4 linked regions of the Danio rerio genome follow. The protein of the gene in region 4 purifies or fractionates together with the protein of the main gene of each other region. This does not show direct contact. Links are inferred from orthologs where the notes say so. Each region holds a gene or a part of one and is shown on either strand. Other genes may lie near its edges.

The links.
Region 1: the proteins of mink1 (region 4) and strn3 purify together in Homo sapiens (affinity purification with mass spectrometry; 3 studies listed by BioGRID and IntAct, with this or other methods). This does not show direct contact. The link is inferred for Danio rerio from reciprocal best matches to the Homo sapiens genes MINK1 and STRN3.
Region 2: the proteins of mink1 (region 4) and strn4 purify together in Homo sapiens (affinity purification with mass spectrometry; 3 studies listed by BioGRID and IntAct, with this or other methods). This does not show direct contact. The link is inferred for Danio rerio from reciprocal best matches to the Homo sapiens genes MINK1 and STRN4.
Region 3: the proteins of mink1 (region 4) and cnot9 purify together in Homo sapiens (affinity purification with mass spectrometry; 3 studies listed by BioGRID and IntAct, with this or other methods). This does not show direct contact. The link is inferred for Danio rerio from reciprocal best matches to the Homo sapiens genes MINK1 and CNOT9.

What each region holds. Positions count from the first base shown.
Region 1 is NC_133192.1:30,183,847-30,188,012, forward strand, and holds the start of strn3 (striatin-3), read left to right. Parts: upstream 1-1,348; coding exon 1,349-1,576; intron 1,577-1,955; exon of another isoform or gene 1,956-2,085; intron 2,086-4,166. UniProt on the Homo sapiens protein: Calmodulin-binding scaffolding protein which is the center of the striatin-interacting phosphatase and kinase (STRIPAK) complexes.
Region 2 is NC_133190.1:13,736,473-13,740,641, reverse strand, and holds the start of strn4 (striatin-4), read right to left. Parts: upstream 2,815-4,169; 5' UTR 2,677-2,814; coding exon 2,392-2,676; intron 1-2,391. UniProt on the Homo sapiens protein: Calmodulin-binding scaffolding protein which is the center of the striatin-interacting phosphatase and kinase (STRIPAK) complexes.
Region 3 is NC_133197.1:12,450,094-12,453,662, reverse strand, and holds part of cnot9 (CCR4-NOT transcription complex subunit 9), read left to right. Parts: intron 1-533; coding exon 534-716; intron 717-1,437; coding exon 1,438-1,553; intron 1,554-1,644; coding exon 1,645-1,754; intron 1,755-3,188; coding exon 3,189-3,298; intron 3,299-3,391; coding exon 3,392-3,490; intron 3,491-3,569. UniProt on the Homo sapiens protein: Component of the CCR4-NOT complex which is one of the major cellular mRNA deadenylases and is linked to various cellular processes including bulk mRNA degradation, miRNA-mediated repression, translational repression during translational initiation and general transcription regulation.
Region 4 is NC_133180.1:39,216,091-39,219,659, reverse strand, and holds part of mink1 (misshapen-like kinase 1), read left to right. Parts: intron 1-18; coding exon 19-130; intron 131-1,255; coding exon 1,256-1,411; intron 1,412-3,362; coding exon 3,363-3,506; intron 3,507-3,569. UniProt on the Homo sapiens protein: Serine/threonine kinase which acts as a negative regulator of Ras-related Rap2-mediated signal transduction to control neuronal structure and AMPA receptor trafficking.

The sequences.
Region 1 (4,166 bases), on a different chromosome or scaffold from region 4:
GCAATAAGAAAATAAAAGCCCTGTTTCAAGAAGATTCTGTTACTGTGCCTTATGTAATGTCATATTGCAATGGTTTTGAAAATGATATTTCATGGAAGAGAGTTTGGTCATTACCCCACTTTTTAACAAACAAGATGAGAGAAGTTTCTGCTTTCCAGACAAGTGTAATCTTAAAAGACTTCAAAACCAACTCTTCATTTTGCTTAGTGAATCCTGAAATTTCTGTTCATTTATTTTGGAATTGCCCTCATTCACTGACATTTTGGTGTGATGTTCTTGATTTCATAAAAGACGTGAAGGAACATTTTACATATGAAAATGTTGTCTTTGGTTTCCATGAATGTAAAAAGGAAAATATTAATTATTTCTTAAACCTTTTTTTTTTTTGGCCAAATTTCAAGCTTTGAAAGTGTAAACTTTTTTTTTTTTTTGTAAATTTAAAAATGAAATGAAAATGAATTTTGAGTCTATTGAGGGATCAACAAACTTAAAAGCAATACGAACAAGGACTTGACATCTTGGACTAAATGACTAAAAACTCCTGGATTGTTGTTTGATTGATGACATTTGTTGTTAATGTTTTTCAATCATTAATATATATATATATATATATATATATATAACATACATATATATATATATATATATATATATATATATATATATATATATATATATATATATATATATATATATATATATATATATATATATATATATATACATATATACATTAACTGCTATAATTTTAAAAAAATGATTGCAATTAAAATTTGCTGTAATTGTATTTTACATTTAAACTTAAACCAATAGCACCTTTAAATTATAACAATAAACAACATTCTCGACGGATGCTATTGATTATTTCAAGCACTTCTCCTTTCACAAACCGTACTATACGTCTATAGATATTGTCAACGACACATTTTTATCGCCTCATCAAGTAAAAAAAATCATAGATACAAAGCGCATGCGCAGAGTCTGTACGTCGTCAGTCTGGATTCGGATGACTCGAGAGCGCGCAGGGCTGGGTGAACGCGTCCCATCATGCAGCGCGCGCGCCAGTCCTCCCTCACTCGCTCGCTCACCCCCGCAGTAGGAGACTCACATCCAGGGATCGGACTAATGGCGGCCGGCAAATCCGTGCGCTGACACGAAATCCACAACAGCCGCTCAGGTGCCAGCCTATTCGGTTGGGGGCAGGGCGACGTCGCATCGCTAAGCGAACGGTAAAAAAGGGAGGGTAGAGGGGTAACAATCGGCGACTTCTAGCAGGACTTTCCTATTTTTAAACATGGATGAACAGCCCGGAGGAGGAGGAGGTGGTGGTGGAGGAGGAGGAGGAGGAATGGCCGCCCAGAGGCAGCAGCAGCAGCCCGCACCGCAGCAGGGCAACAACAGCATTAATCCTCAGATGAACAGCGCAGGAGGAGCGCCTATGGTTCAGCAACAGCAAGACGAGATGCCCAGGCCCCAGCAGTACACCATCCCGGGGATTTTACACTACATCCAGCACGAATGGGCCCGTTTCGAGATGGAAAGGGCGCATTGGGAAGTGGAGAGGGCCGAGCTCCAGGTAACGTTGTAGACTTTTGGATTTTGCTGACACACTGATTGGAAACCCCAAATCGGGGCATCGACCGACAACTCGTCGGTTGCTTTAATTAAAAGCTTGAGGCTGAATTGCTAAGCATTTTACCATACATCTCGCAAGCTTCCTGTCCACCCTGTTTACACAAAATTTCAACACTAGCAGTTGTGTCAATAAACAAACCTTTCTTCATTTGAAACATGCGAGACATATGTATTTAGCATGCCTATATTGTAAAACAGCAATCTAGTAAGTCGAGTCGCTTACTCGTTCCTAGTGTGGATGTGCTAAGCTAAGCTAACATGACATCGCTGTATTGGCGATAATACGCGACACCCGCTACGATGGATTCAGATTATCTTACCCACGATCACAGAAGCAGATCTAATAGTTGTTTGTTGCGGATTTATTGTGTCACGGGACGCATCTGTCAATGAAAGCCAGCAGACTTTGTCAACTATTCTCTTGTTCTGCCATTTTGTTTTGGTCAATATGGCGTCCGTATGGGTCGCTTTTTTATTGATCCATCCTACTGGGGCTCACTTTCACACCCTGCTTCAATTTTAGTATGTTTTACACACTGCATCTTTTATAAGATTCAAAAGAACATTAAGGGCTTTCTGATCAGCAAAAACTAGTTATCATAAAAATGCTGGATGACAGCGACGGTCACTATTTACGTTCGTTAATGAAACATAACGTTGCATTTAAAGGGAATAGAGTTTGAGGCGAGTTGCGAACACTCTGACTGATATTTGTACTTGTGTTACACATATGACAAACAAACTGTGTTAAACCGGTTTGGAACAACACGAGGGTGTGTAAATGATGACACTGTTCATTTTAGGTTCACTCTCCTTTAAGATCGCTATGAGCAGATAGACTTACTAGTTTAGCTCCTGGTCAGATCAGTATTTTGGATGAATCATTGGCATTTGGATAAGTCTCTTGTCACTATCTTTTTTTGTCATTATTTACTCACCCCTATGTTAATCTCCACCTGTATGACAGACTTTGTATAACACAAAAACACAACACGTTTGACAGAATAACAAACCTTTTAACAGTTGACCTGCATTTGTATTTAGAAAATACCTTTATCAGTTAAATAGTTTGTTTCATGGAGGTGCAGCACACAACATTTAGACAATATTGTTGTTTTTGGCAGTCAAATAATTAACAGGTAACATTCAGTAACGTTTACTTGAGTAAATTATAACCATGGTTTTATTGTTGTAAAAGTGTCATCACCACGTTTTTGTTGCATTGATTACATTTGCATAACTAAAGTTTTACTTCAAAGACTATGGTTAAACTATGGCTTAACCACAGTTTCCATGGTTTTCAGTTTTGTTAGTAAAAAAAAAAGAAGTGTCCGCTTGTTCTTAAAGTATTTTATTTAAAGTTCTGTCATCCTTTGTTCATCTCCTTTTTTTAAACATATTAAGAGTTTCTTTATGTGGAGGCGCAAGCTATTTTGATAAATGTTTTTGTTTTTTTTGCCTATGAAGAATAATGTAAACCGAATGAGTGATGACTGATTTACCAACAAACATTGTCTGTCCTTTTTTCCCCCCATGACTTTTGTATTTTTTGCTCGCCTCTCACTTTGACAGATTTATTTTTGGGTGAAAGAGTGTGTTATGACAGCCAAATCTCCATTCTCCCCGTATTAATGGGTGTAGCTGTCATATGTTCAGCCTACTAGAGATGTGGACGGCAGTGTAGCTTTTGTGAATGAGGAAAGGAGCTGGCAGGACTTGGCATTATGTAAACACAGTCAGTCTTCATTTCAGAGGCTGAGGAGTCTCTTCACTACCCCTGTACAGACTTGTTTTGTGACATACTTTCAGAATGACTCCCACCTCAAAACTAATGTGCACTTTTCATTAGAGGAAGTCAGCCCTCCCACACTCATACCGATGCAGGTCCTAAAAAGAGGGTTGGTCTTGTTTATTTGCTTTGCATTCCATATTTCCGAGGTTCACTTGCCATCTAACCATTAGACGCATACCGTACATACCACAAACGAAATGCTGCAAGTTGAACCAAATCAAATCATGCTGCCAAATATGAGCGCTTTGATTCTCCAGCTTTGCATGCAGATGCTTAAGTCCATTACCAGGTGCTGCTTTTCAGTGCTGGAGACGTTGCTAATGTTATAATGGATAGTGGTTCTGTGCTACTCTGATAGTGTCTGGATCTAATTGATGTGAAACTCTTCCTGTCAGCTTGCTTGGCTAGTAGGCATAGCTCTTAGCAGAGATGTCCTGAGCAGTCACATCAGGAACGGGCCTGATTGCTGTTATCTGGGTTAGCTCAGGGTTTGTAGGTCATGCTAGCACCATCTTCATAGTCATAATGGCTCATTGCACATCTCTAACCAATCCTACATTTGAAACTTTTTTGAATGTCTGTAAATCCTCTTCTCTTTCAAATGGTGAGATACCCAATTTACAGGTCATACTACTGAATTCTACGTATGAATGACTTCCTAGGTCATCTGTGAAAGTATATAGATAGAAGTATTATTTGAGGGACTTTTATGTTGGAAAATCAAAACGATGCTACGTTT
Region 2 (4,169 bases), on a different chromosome or scaffold from region 4:
GACCATGACAAAAGTCTGTTCAAGTCCACCATTCCACATGAAGACAGAAATTAAATTTTAACCAACAGTACAGCTACACAAAGCCTATTGCTGTTTTACCTCTTGTTTGAGAATAACACTAATAATAATAGCCTAGTCACATTAACCTTTATTTTAAATCTACAGAATCATGAAAAAATCGTGATTTTTATTTTAGGCAAAAAAATAAAAAATAAAATAATAATAAATTGCAATACTCATTTTAGCCAGAATCGTGCAGCTCTATAACAATGTATCGTTTTGAGTACAAATGTAGTAAATCTTTCAGCTGCAAACGTTTAATTTATTGTGCCCAAATGTTTAAAGAGCCCATATTATGGGTTTTTGAAAATGGCCTTTTTTATGTAGTGTGTAACACGGCTCTAAGTGAAGTAATATTTAGGTAAGGCGTAAATCTGTAAGTGTACAGTGTTTAAAACTATTGATTCATCTATAACAGAGTCGACTCAGTGCTTCAAACGAGTCGTCTTGATAACGAATCATTAGGTGTTTTACGATGATGCGACTATGAAACACAATTAGTTGAGCGCACAAACCCGGGAGATTTGAAACCTGCGGCCCCGCCCACTAACACCGAAAAAAAAGCCACACACACACCGGTCGAATGAAGTCACGCTGTGCAGATGGATAATATTGACAGTCTCTGACCAAAAATAAAACCTCAGCATTATAGCCCAGCCTTGAGTAGTTCGAGTGCTTCTGGAAACTACATGCTTACAAAGAAGAATTAATCGGCTGTTTGTTAAAGGAATGATCAGTAAGGACTTTCAGAACATGGATCAGTTCATCATGGATCAGTTTCTTCCTCCATTTCATAGTGTAAGTACGTGCGATTAAAATTGTACCAAAAACTAAATCTGTGTTTGACTTACAGTTTTACTCCATTGGTTTGGCTCATTTCTTGAAACAGAAATTACATTCTCAAAATTCTAAGATCATTTGGCAAAACAGTGTTACAGTTTAGCACAACACTATGGCTCACTTGCAAAAGCTCATACCTTTCCCAAAACAGTTCACTCATGTGTCAAAACTAAATTTCCTTCTCATTTAAACAGTCAGTGCCCCCAAAATGCTTCGTCCTTTTAGCATTGTGTAAGCACTGCAAGTCAAAATGTTTAGATGTTCTGTCATTATGGCAAAGGACCACTAAAATATCCCTCATGTCCACCTTACAGTCTTAGCCAAGTCCTTCATTGACAATGGTTACTGTACTGTTTTTGTCTAGCTAACAGAATACAATTGTGTATAAAACTGAACAAAAAAAAAAAATAGGATTTTAGGGTAAGAGTAGCCTCCAAGGTTTGACGTCACACATTGCACTCATACTGCCAGGGTAATGGTAACTCCTTTTTTTATTGCAATAATCAACCACACACAAAGTAACTTCCATATGTCAGAGCAAAAAGTATAAATAGATGTAATAGTGTAATCAAAAGTTCCAAGGATTCACCTACTGTATGGTATTCATGGTCTTGACTAATTTTGAACAGACTATTGTACTTTCAATGACAAACAATGAAATGACGCTGAAACATTTTGAAGAGAACAACCATTAGACTGAGAATGAATAATCAGTTTAAATCAACAAGATCTATTCACTTGGAAATTGTGCTTAATGTCGGCTATTTTTACTTAATAATTTGCAAAGATGTACTTAAACATTTACAATTTGATGAAATTAATGAGAAATTCAATTCTGGTGTGAACAACTGCCAAGTGGTTTGGAGGTTTGTCCATGTTGTTTTGGGAATGTAATTTCTGTTTCAAGAAAAGAGCCAAACCAATGGAGGAAAACCTGTAATAGTTATTACGACAACCTGCATATTAAGAGACGCTCTATACAAGTATTGACTTAATCTGTGTCATTGCATTATTTTAAAATGAATCGTGTTACAGAATATTGCTTGTTTATTATTTGTTTACACACTGTTATGATGTTGCATTTCTCAGTGCAGCTCTCAAACAATGAAACGTTTACAGACTACTGATAGTAGTAAATACAATATGTATCATGATTGATGTTATTACTTTTCTCCTTCAAAAAAACTATAAAAGAACCGCGCTACGGAACTGGATTTGTTAATATGAATCGTAAACAGAATCGATTCCCATCCTTAGGTGGGTATGGCTATTCAACAAAAGGACAGTATTTCAGTTAAATCTGCTATTGTTGCAATAAATAGCAAAAAAATGAACACTTAAATCTCGTGTAATCCCCAACCTACATCTGTACAACAATTCCAGCAGGCGGTCGTGACTTCCCTTGCGTCTTAACTGTAAATGTGCTCTTCCTCCAGGAATTCGTCTAGAGGAAGAGACCAAAACAAGTGATTAAAGAAACGCTGCTTTTACCCTCAGCTCGTCTCGCTCGGCCTCCCAGCGGTATTTCTCAGCTTGAAAGCGGCTCCATTCATATTGGATGAAATGTAAGATCCCGGGCAGCGAGAGGCCTGCGTCCCCGTCCTGCTGATCTCGCGACTGGGAGGATCCGGCCATTGGCCCGGCCGCGGCGGCTGCTACTGCGGAGGGAGCGGGACCGAGCACAGCCTTCGGCCCGTTAGGATTGCGCCCAGTTCCACTTCCCGCGGGGCTCTGACTCGTCCCGCCCGCCATCCCTCCGGATCTTTCCGCCTCCATCAGAGCGTTCGAGCTGTCGCCGGAGCCAGGAGGTGGAAAAGCTGAAGAATGAGCCGCCCCGATGCTTGAAGTCTCCACCGAAGCCCTCTCCCGTTTTCCTGCCTGGTACAGATAGGCGAGCACTGTCTCATACACACTGAAGTGCCAAATAGTGATCCACTCCTACCCCAGACTAGCTGCATGCGTTACTACTTCATGACCGCTAATTACAGGCCATAAAGCCGTTTGCCACATGGGGGCGCTTGGTGGATCCAAAAGCTCCATGAAGCTTCGAACAACATACAGCTCCGTACGGCCGGAAGTAGCGCAAAATCTCGTCGGATGGACAGAGTAAAGTCTAGAAGATATAAGATTGAAACATTGCAACCTGCAGAACCTGGGAAGTTAAAAAAGGCAAGAAGAGCTACAGCTAAAAAGTAAACCTGCCTTTGTGGTCTTCATTAAACAAGATAACGTTACGGAAAATTACAAGAAGTTGATTTCAGGGACTAATGAGAAGCTTTAAAAACTCAAAATATGCTCTGCTTTTAAGTTCTTCGTAAAAGTAAATTTAAATTAATCCTTGTAATTTATCGTTTGTTTTCTCATTTTTATTTCTCTTATCTTATTTCCATTGTTCCATATTGTACTGTATCTTTTGTCAATGTCACTTATTGATTTAGTATTTTATAATTATGTACTGTTATGCATGTTCCTGGATTCAACAATAAAAAAAAGGATACAGCTACGAAAACGTATATCAATATAGCATCATTTTTGTGACACTGTACAACAATATTTAATATTTTATTTACATTACTGTGATGTTTGGATTTAGAATCGGGGTAGGCGTAGACATTTATACAACAAAATGAATGGATAATTGAATAAATAATATGAACAATACTCGTTATGATGACTTTTCACAGTACTTTGATAGTTGAGTTTAGGGTCGGAGTAGGCGTAGATGTTAATACAATAAAATTAATGGATGATTGAACAAATAATACGGACAACATTCGTTATAATGACTGTTTTTATGGTACTGTGATGGTTGAGTTCAGGGTTGCGGTAGGCGCAGACGTTAATACAATAAAATGAATGGATAATTGAATAAATATTAAGAACAATACTCAATATAATGACTGTTTTCGTGGTACTGTGATGGTTCAATTTAGGGTTGGAGTAGGCGTAGTAGACGTTAATACAATAAAATGAATGGATAATTGATTAAATAATGAAAACTACTCGTTATAATGACTGTTTTCATGATACTGTGATGGTTGAGTTTAGGGTTGGAGTGGGTGTAGACATTATTACAATAAAATGTATAGATAAATAAATAATATGAACAATACTCATAATGACTGTTTTTAACGGTACTTTGATGGTTGCGTTAAGGGTTGGAGTAGATGTAGATGTTAATACAATAAAATTAATGGATAACTGAATAATACTCGTTCTAATGACTTTCCACAATACTGTGATAGTTGAGTTTAGAGTTGGAGTAGGTG
Region 3 (3,569 bases), on a different chromosome or scaffold from region 4:
CTTTATAACGGAGAAAAGATGTTTTTAACACATTTCTAAACATAATAGTTTTAATAATTCATTTCTAATAACTGATTTTTTTTTATCTTTGCCATGATGACAGTGAATAATATTTTACTACATATTTTCAAGACACTTCTATACAGCTTAAAGTGGCATTTAAATGCTTAACTAGGTTAATTAGGTTGACTAGGCAGGTTAGGGTAATTAGGCAAGTTATTGAATAATGATGGTTTGTTCTGTAGACTATTGAAAAAAATATACAGCTCAAAGGGGCTAATAATTTTGTCCTTAAATTGGTGTTTAAAAAATTAAAAACTGCTTTTATTCTAGCCGAAATAAAACAAATCAGACTTTCTCCTGAAGAAAAAAATATTATCAGACATACTTTAAAAATGTCTTTGCTCTGTTAAACATAATTTGGGAAATATTTAAAAAAAAAAAGAACAAAACAAAAAAATCAATGGTGGGCTAATAAATCTGTCTTCAACTTTATATATGATGACTAAAGAAGTGCTCTCTCACTCTCACAGACTGTAAGCACAGCGGGTCTGGCGCAGGTGGACCGGGAGAAGATCTACCAGTGGATCAATGAGTTGTCCAGTCCAGAAACACGAGAGAACGCCCTGCTGGAGCTCAGCAAGAAGAGAGAGTCTGTGACTGACCTGGCCCCAATGCTCTGGCACTCCTGCGGGACCATAGCAGCTCTACTGCAGGTCTGCTTCAGTTTCTTTCATTCTAGACACAATTCTTTTTGATTTAAAGAAATATTAATTGAATTGAATAATTGTGTAATTATTATTATTATTTTACATATAAATAAATATTAAGTGGCATAACTGTATGTTTTTTTAATATATATCTGGTTAATTAATTCATTATGCAATTAATAATACAATAAGTAAAAATTAATTACAAAATTATTTTAGGTAATATTAAGAGGGATTTGTAAATGTAGGTTTTTTTGTTCAATGTTTTTATTCAATGTACACAATTTTGATTAATCTTTTTGATGAAAATGACATTTAAAATGAATTTTAAAGCAATAAATTGACAAACAATTGTTTAGTAAAACATGAATTATTTCAGATATTTGAAAAATTATGGAATGGAGTGATAATAACTGTATAAGTTACAAATATGTCCCTTTTTGAAAGAATTTTAATAAAATTTAGGGTTTAAGTAGTTTTTTTTTCTGCACTTTGAAAATTAAAACTTTTTGTAAACGCTCTTTTCTGACATTTGACACTAAAGTAGTTCTTCAGATATTCAGATACTATTAGAATTTATATTGAATAGTAATAAATAACAATAATAGCAAAGGCTTTTATTGTAATCAAAACAAGTTCAAAGTTTGAATTCATTTGAGAAGGTAGAAAAAAATAGAGCAAAGTTAACTAAATTGAGATTAATAATTAATTTTTTTTTTTTTTACAGGAAATTGTTAACATCTACCCATCCATAAACCCCCCGACACTGACGGCACATCAGTCTAATCGAGTGTGTAATGCCTTAGCACTGCTGCAGTGTGTGGCGTCACATGTAGAGACACGGTAACACACTTCTTATAGACACAGAAAACGACACGCTCTCTTTAATGATTCGCCACATTGACTGATCCTCCGATTTCTTTCTCGTCCTCAGTTCTGCTTTTCTGGCAGCTCACATCCCTTTATTTCTCTACCCGTTCCTGCACACGGTCAGTAAAACCAGGCCCTTCGAGTACCTTCGGCTCACCAGTCTGGGCGTCATCGGTAAGAAAAAATATATATAAGTAAGATTGAACTGAAATGTTATCATTGTTTGGAAGAGCTATAAAAATATTGTGTGTATATATACAGTGCTCAGCATAAATGAGTACAGCCCATTTTAAAAATGAATATTTTTATCCATTTCTCAGTGAATATTGGTAATATATATTAGTGCATTTGAACAAAACAGATTTATTGTACAGATATGTTTTATCAAAATAATATTTTAGTCACATAACATCTTTAGAAATGGAAAGATTACTTATAAATTCATGCAAAATATTGCAAAAAAAAAACATAACAAACTAGAACATTTCAACAAAATTGTATATATTTTGTATATTAATTTGTATAATATTTTCTAACATATAAATTTGGGCTACTAATTTCTGAACCATTATTGTAAGTTTCACTTTATTAGATTAGCTCCAGATTTGGATTCAGTACTCACTAATCTAATGTATATGCACAAATGTAATATTGTAAAGCTTCCTATAGAAAATATTCATTTAAATGAGAGATTTGTTTGGGGTATATATGCTGAGCACTGGATATATAATATTATGTAAATTGCCAAATACTTTAATATTTGGTAAAAACATAAAATAAAAAAATATGAAATACATATAATAAACTATATGTAATATAATTAAGATAAAAGTAGTAAAAACAGTATTTTGCATTAGGCGATACAAAAATACAATTAAGCAGTTTGAATTATATTTTCAATATGGAAGGGCATTTGTATCTATATATTGATTTTTTTTATTTTGTTTAGTGGTTTTGCAGTTTCAATTTGTGACATTTCTGTATCTATATTTAAGTTTTTGGATGAAAATGAAAGTAAGACTGAACTGAAATGTATTCATCTTATAGGAGCATTAGTGAAAATGGTGAAAATACTTTTTATACATACAAATTTAATATATTTATATAATGACGTAAATTTGCCAAAAAATTAATATGAATTTTCCATTCGTTAAAAAATATATATACTTTGTAGCAGACGAAACAAAAATACAATTAGTGCAATCAGTTTGAGTAAATTTTTGAATGTGTATGTTTTATTTAGTACATTTGATTTTTTTCAATTTAAATATATTTCATTATTCGATTTTTGATGAATATGCTAAAAAATTAAATAAATAAGTAAAACAGATTTACTTTCATATATGAATTTACCATTCACAAGTAATAAAAAAGGTATATTTAAAAAAAAGTTTTATCAATGCATCATATTTTTGTTTTATTGAATATGTCAGGTGATTAGTAACCACGTTATTGACCTAGTTTTTTATTCATTAATTGATTTATTTAGTATATTTGATTTGCATTTACTTTTATAAATGTGTTTCTTCTAAATCCTGTATTGAATAATTTTTTGGGATGTAATTGTGTAAGCCTGATAAATAAGCCAGAGATGCGTTTGTCTTATAGGCGCACTGGTGAAAACAGACGAGCAGGAAGTCATCAACTTTCTGTTAACCACAGAAATAATTCCTCTCTGTCTGCGCATAATGGAGTCCGGCAGCGAGCTCTCCAAAACGGTAATCTCATTACATGACATAACTTGACAAGTTATGAGTGTACGTGCATTATTCAGATGCATTTGATGTGTATTTCCTCTTTTCTTCCTTCAGGTGGCCACGTTTATCCTGCAGAAGATCCTCTTGGATGATACGGGGCTTGCCTACATCTGCCAGACCTACGAACGCTTTTCACATGTAGCCATGATACTGGTAATTAACTATTAATGTTCAGGAGTATTATTAACATGTTAGACATATTCATTTTTGGGTTCTGAAATCATTTGTCTTT
Region 4 (3,569 bases):
TCATGCTATTCATTTCAGTATCAGTCCAGGGGATTGGTCAAGGCCTCTGGAAAATCCTCTTTTACTACCTTTGTGGACCTTGGAATGTACCAGCCATCAGGGGGTAGTGGAGATAACATTTCTGTTGGAGGTAAAGTGGTTAGTTTGGGTACGGAGATTTTAAGGGGATTTTTAACACAAAAATGTAAATTCCTGTTTAAGTTTCTGTTTTGTTGAACCTAAATGAAGATATTTTGAAGCTTGTTGGAAATGGGTAACCATTGTCTTCCATAGTATTTGTTTTTCATACAACACATGTTAATGTTTACTAGTTTCCAACATTCTTTAGAATCTCTTTTTATGTGTTCAAAACAACAAAAAACTCCCAACTGGTTTAAAAACAAGTCAAAGATGAGTAATAGATGACAGAATTTTTGTTGAATTTTTTAGAATCATTTGTGGGTGAACTACCCCTTTAAGATACACTATTGTTCAACAACACAGGGTGTACTCTGTTCACTGCATTTACAATTACAGGAAAAACAAAAATATTAGCAAACATTAATTTTTAAGATAAATTTTATGATGTAAACTAATGTGAAAGATTTTTAAGTATAATTATTGTCTCATTAAGTAATTAGTGTCATTCAAAAGTCATATTAATATGCTTTGATTAGTGTTCAAGATTGTTGTTTTCTTTAGTATTTTGTGAAAACCATGATCATTTTAGCCGCATTTGATAGAAAGTTCAAAAGGAAGATGCTAATTTAAAATAATCATAATTTGTAACATTATAAATGTTAAATATTTGCTGAATATGTATATATTAATTTCTTAATACATATTGATTATTTGAAAAAGCAAACATTTGAACAGTGCTGTTTGTGTAAAGCTTAATACATTGGAATACATGAGAATATTTATTTACTTTTTTTGTTGTTGTTGAGAATCAAAATTGATCAGATGAATCTACTGGAAATGCTATATTAATTTAAATTTTCTTACATTACTTGAGAAATATATATATATATATATATATACTTGAATTGCAGCATATATTTAAATTATGTTCTCTCATAACATTACATATTTTCCCCCATAGCTGTATGTTTTGTTCTAATGAATCTTCTACATGTTTACTGGAAAACAAGACAGAAGATCTGAGCAAGAAAATGATTTCAGCACCCTAGACCTGTGACTGTTTCTTGATGGCTGTGAATCTGTTTCTGACAGATGACTCAGTGTCTCTCTGCTGTGCGGTTTGTGGGTGTTGTAGGTCTGGGCTCTCGTTTTGAGCAGCTAAAGCTGGAGGTGAGGAAGGGCTCCATGGTCAATGTCAATCCCACAAACACACGTCCGGTCAGTGACACTCCTGAAATCCGCAAATACAAGAAGAGATTTAACTCTGAGATCCTCTGCGCTGCTCTCTGGGGTAAGAGCCATGCGTGTGTTTGTCAATCTAACGAAGTACATTTCTCATAAAGCCATCCCAACTGTCTATTCTTACTATCAGGGTTGGGCAGAAATACTTTAAAATGTATTTTAAAATAAAATGCCAAATACCTTTTAGTTTAAGTGTAGGTGCATTAAAATAAACTACAAACGACAGCAGCCAAAATGTGTATAAAAATAAAAACTGTATTTTTGTATTTTAAAAATACTACAAAATACTTTTACAAAGCATCGTGACATTTCTTCCCAAAACCTACTATCAATAGGCCTATTGGATCAATCCCTTCACCATTAAACTGACTCAGTGTAATAAACAGTGTTTGACAGTAACAGTGTTTCTCTAAGTTTTAGCTTTTCTGCCACTTTGCTCATCTCAACCTTCAACTGTAAGACTTTCATTTTTGCATTTATTTTGTAGATAATTTCATACAGAAAGTCCTGACTTGATAATCTCATTCCGTTTAAACCATTTATTGCAGATGATAAGTCGAATCGTATTGCTATATCTATTGTTTGTGTTTTCACCCATTCTGTGGCCAGTAAAATTGTCATCATCTCTGTGCAATGATTATTCAAGCTCTTAATATTTTAAAAGGGTGATAAATGAAGAGTTTTAAATTTGTTTTGTTCCCAGAATTTTTCATAAATCTAGTATTTTGCAGTTGAACTCTTCAGTACTCAATGTGAAAACATGATTTCTGAAAACTTCTAAAAATTGTTATGTTTTTCTGTTTTTGCAAATAAACTCTTCATATACAGCTAAAGTCAGAATTATTAGAATTTTTTTTTTTTTTTTTTATGTAGGTGCATTCTTATGCATTTACGTATGTAATAAATCATCTTTGCATTATAAAGAAAAAAAAGATCTACTTTTTCTGCAAGGCATTGGTAATCAGAGTGTATGGATGGACACTAAATGTGACATTGTTCTCTCTTCTGTCTGCCATTAACTGTCTAACACAGATTTTTCTTTTTTCTGCAAGTCTTGATAACACCATCATTGATCATCTTTTATTATTTGAGCAAATAGGATTGTAAAAAAAAATATTTCTTGTATTCTCCCATTCACCTTGCATTAAGTTTACGCAAATATGACAACTTCCGCTACTGAGAAACCTGGAAAAGTGAAGAGGGTCTATTGATTTCAGGTAGCTTTGATCCATTTGAGTCACTTTACTGATTCAAGTATTTTACTGATTGCTGATTTTAGTTCTTTTTAATCAAGTTTTTACATTATTTTAGGGTAGTGAGGTTAGTGTATGAAGTGTGTGAAAATTGGCACATGATGAGATCAAGGCTATTTGTTCCTCCTTCTTCTTTTAGTGTTTTAAACCCTCCAGTTCAAACTCTTTAAAATGTAATGCACATTTTAGCTAAAATAATTCAGGCAAGTTTCCTAGAAACAAAACTTTCTTTCTTCTCTGATTTTTCTAAGCCGTGCTAGTGCAACAAGTGATTTCTGTTCTCGATTTTCTCCTTGTTCAATTGTTTTTATCTTTTTAAGCTCATACTACACTCATAGGGTTGCCAGACAGAAGTTTTTTTTCAAGAAATATATTTGTATCTGTGTATCATTTTAATGTGTTGACATGAACTTTGTTATCTTTGCACCAATTCCCTGAGCGTTCAGGAGGACTAGTTTGATGGCAGTGCCACCCACTGGCCAAAATGCATAAAATATGACCACAAAGCATGGTGGAATAAAGTGGCACAAGGTCAAATTTCTCCATAATACCCTTTTGAGCAGTGTACCGTTTTTTTCATCCACTCCTACAGAGAGTTTATTATATACAGTCAAAACTTTTCTACTTTAAATTCAGTACACCCCTAAAGCATGATAAACAGTTTTCTCAGAATAGCTCCATAGCACAGTCTGTGAGCATTTTAGGTCTTGAAGGGTGTGTGTGTTTTAACTGTGTATGTTCTGTCAGGTGTGAATCTGCTGGTCGGGACAGAGAATGGTCTGAAGCTGCTGGACAGAAGCGGTCAGGGTAAAGTGTATCCACTGATCAACTCGCGCAGATTTCAGCAGATGGATGTCCTGGAGGGACTGAACCTCCTCATCACTATATCAGGTTATAAAATGCTCTGTTCCTTATTTCACACACCCGTCTATCTTTGCCGGGACACATAGATAT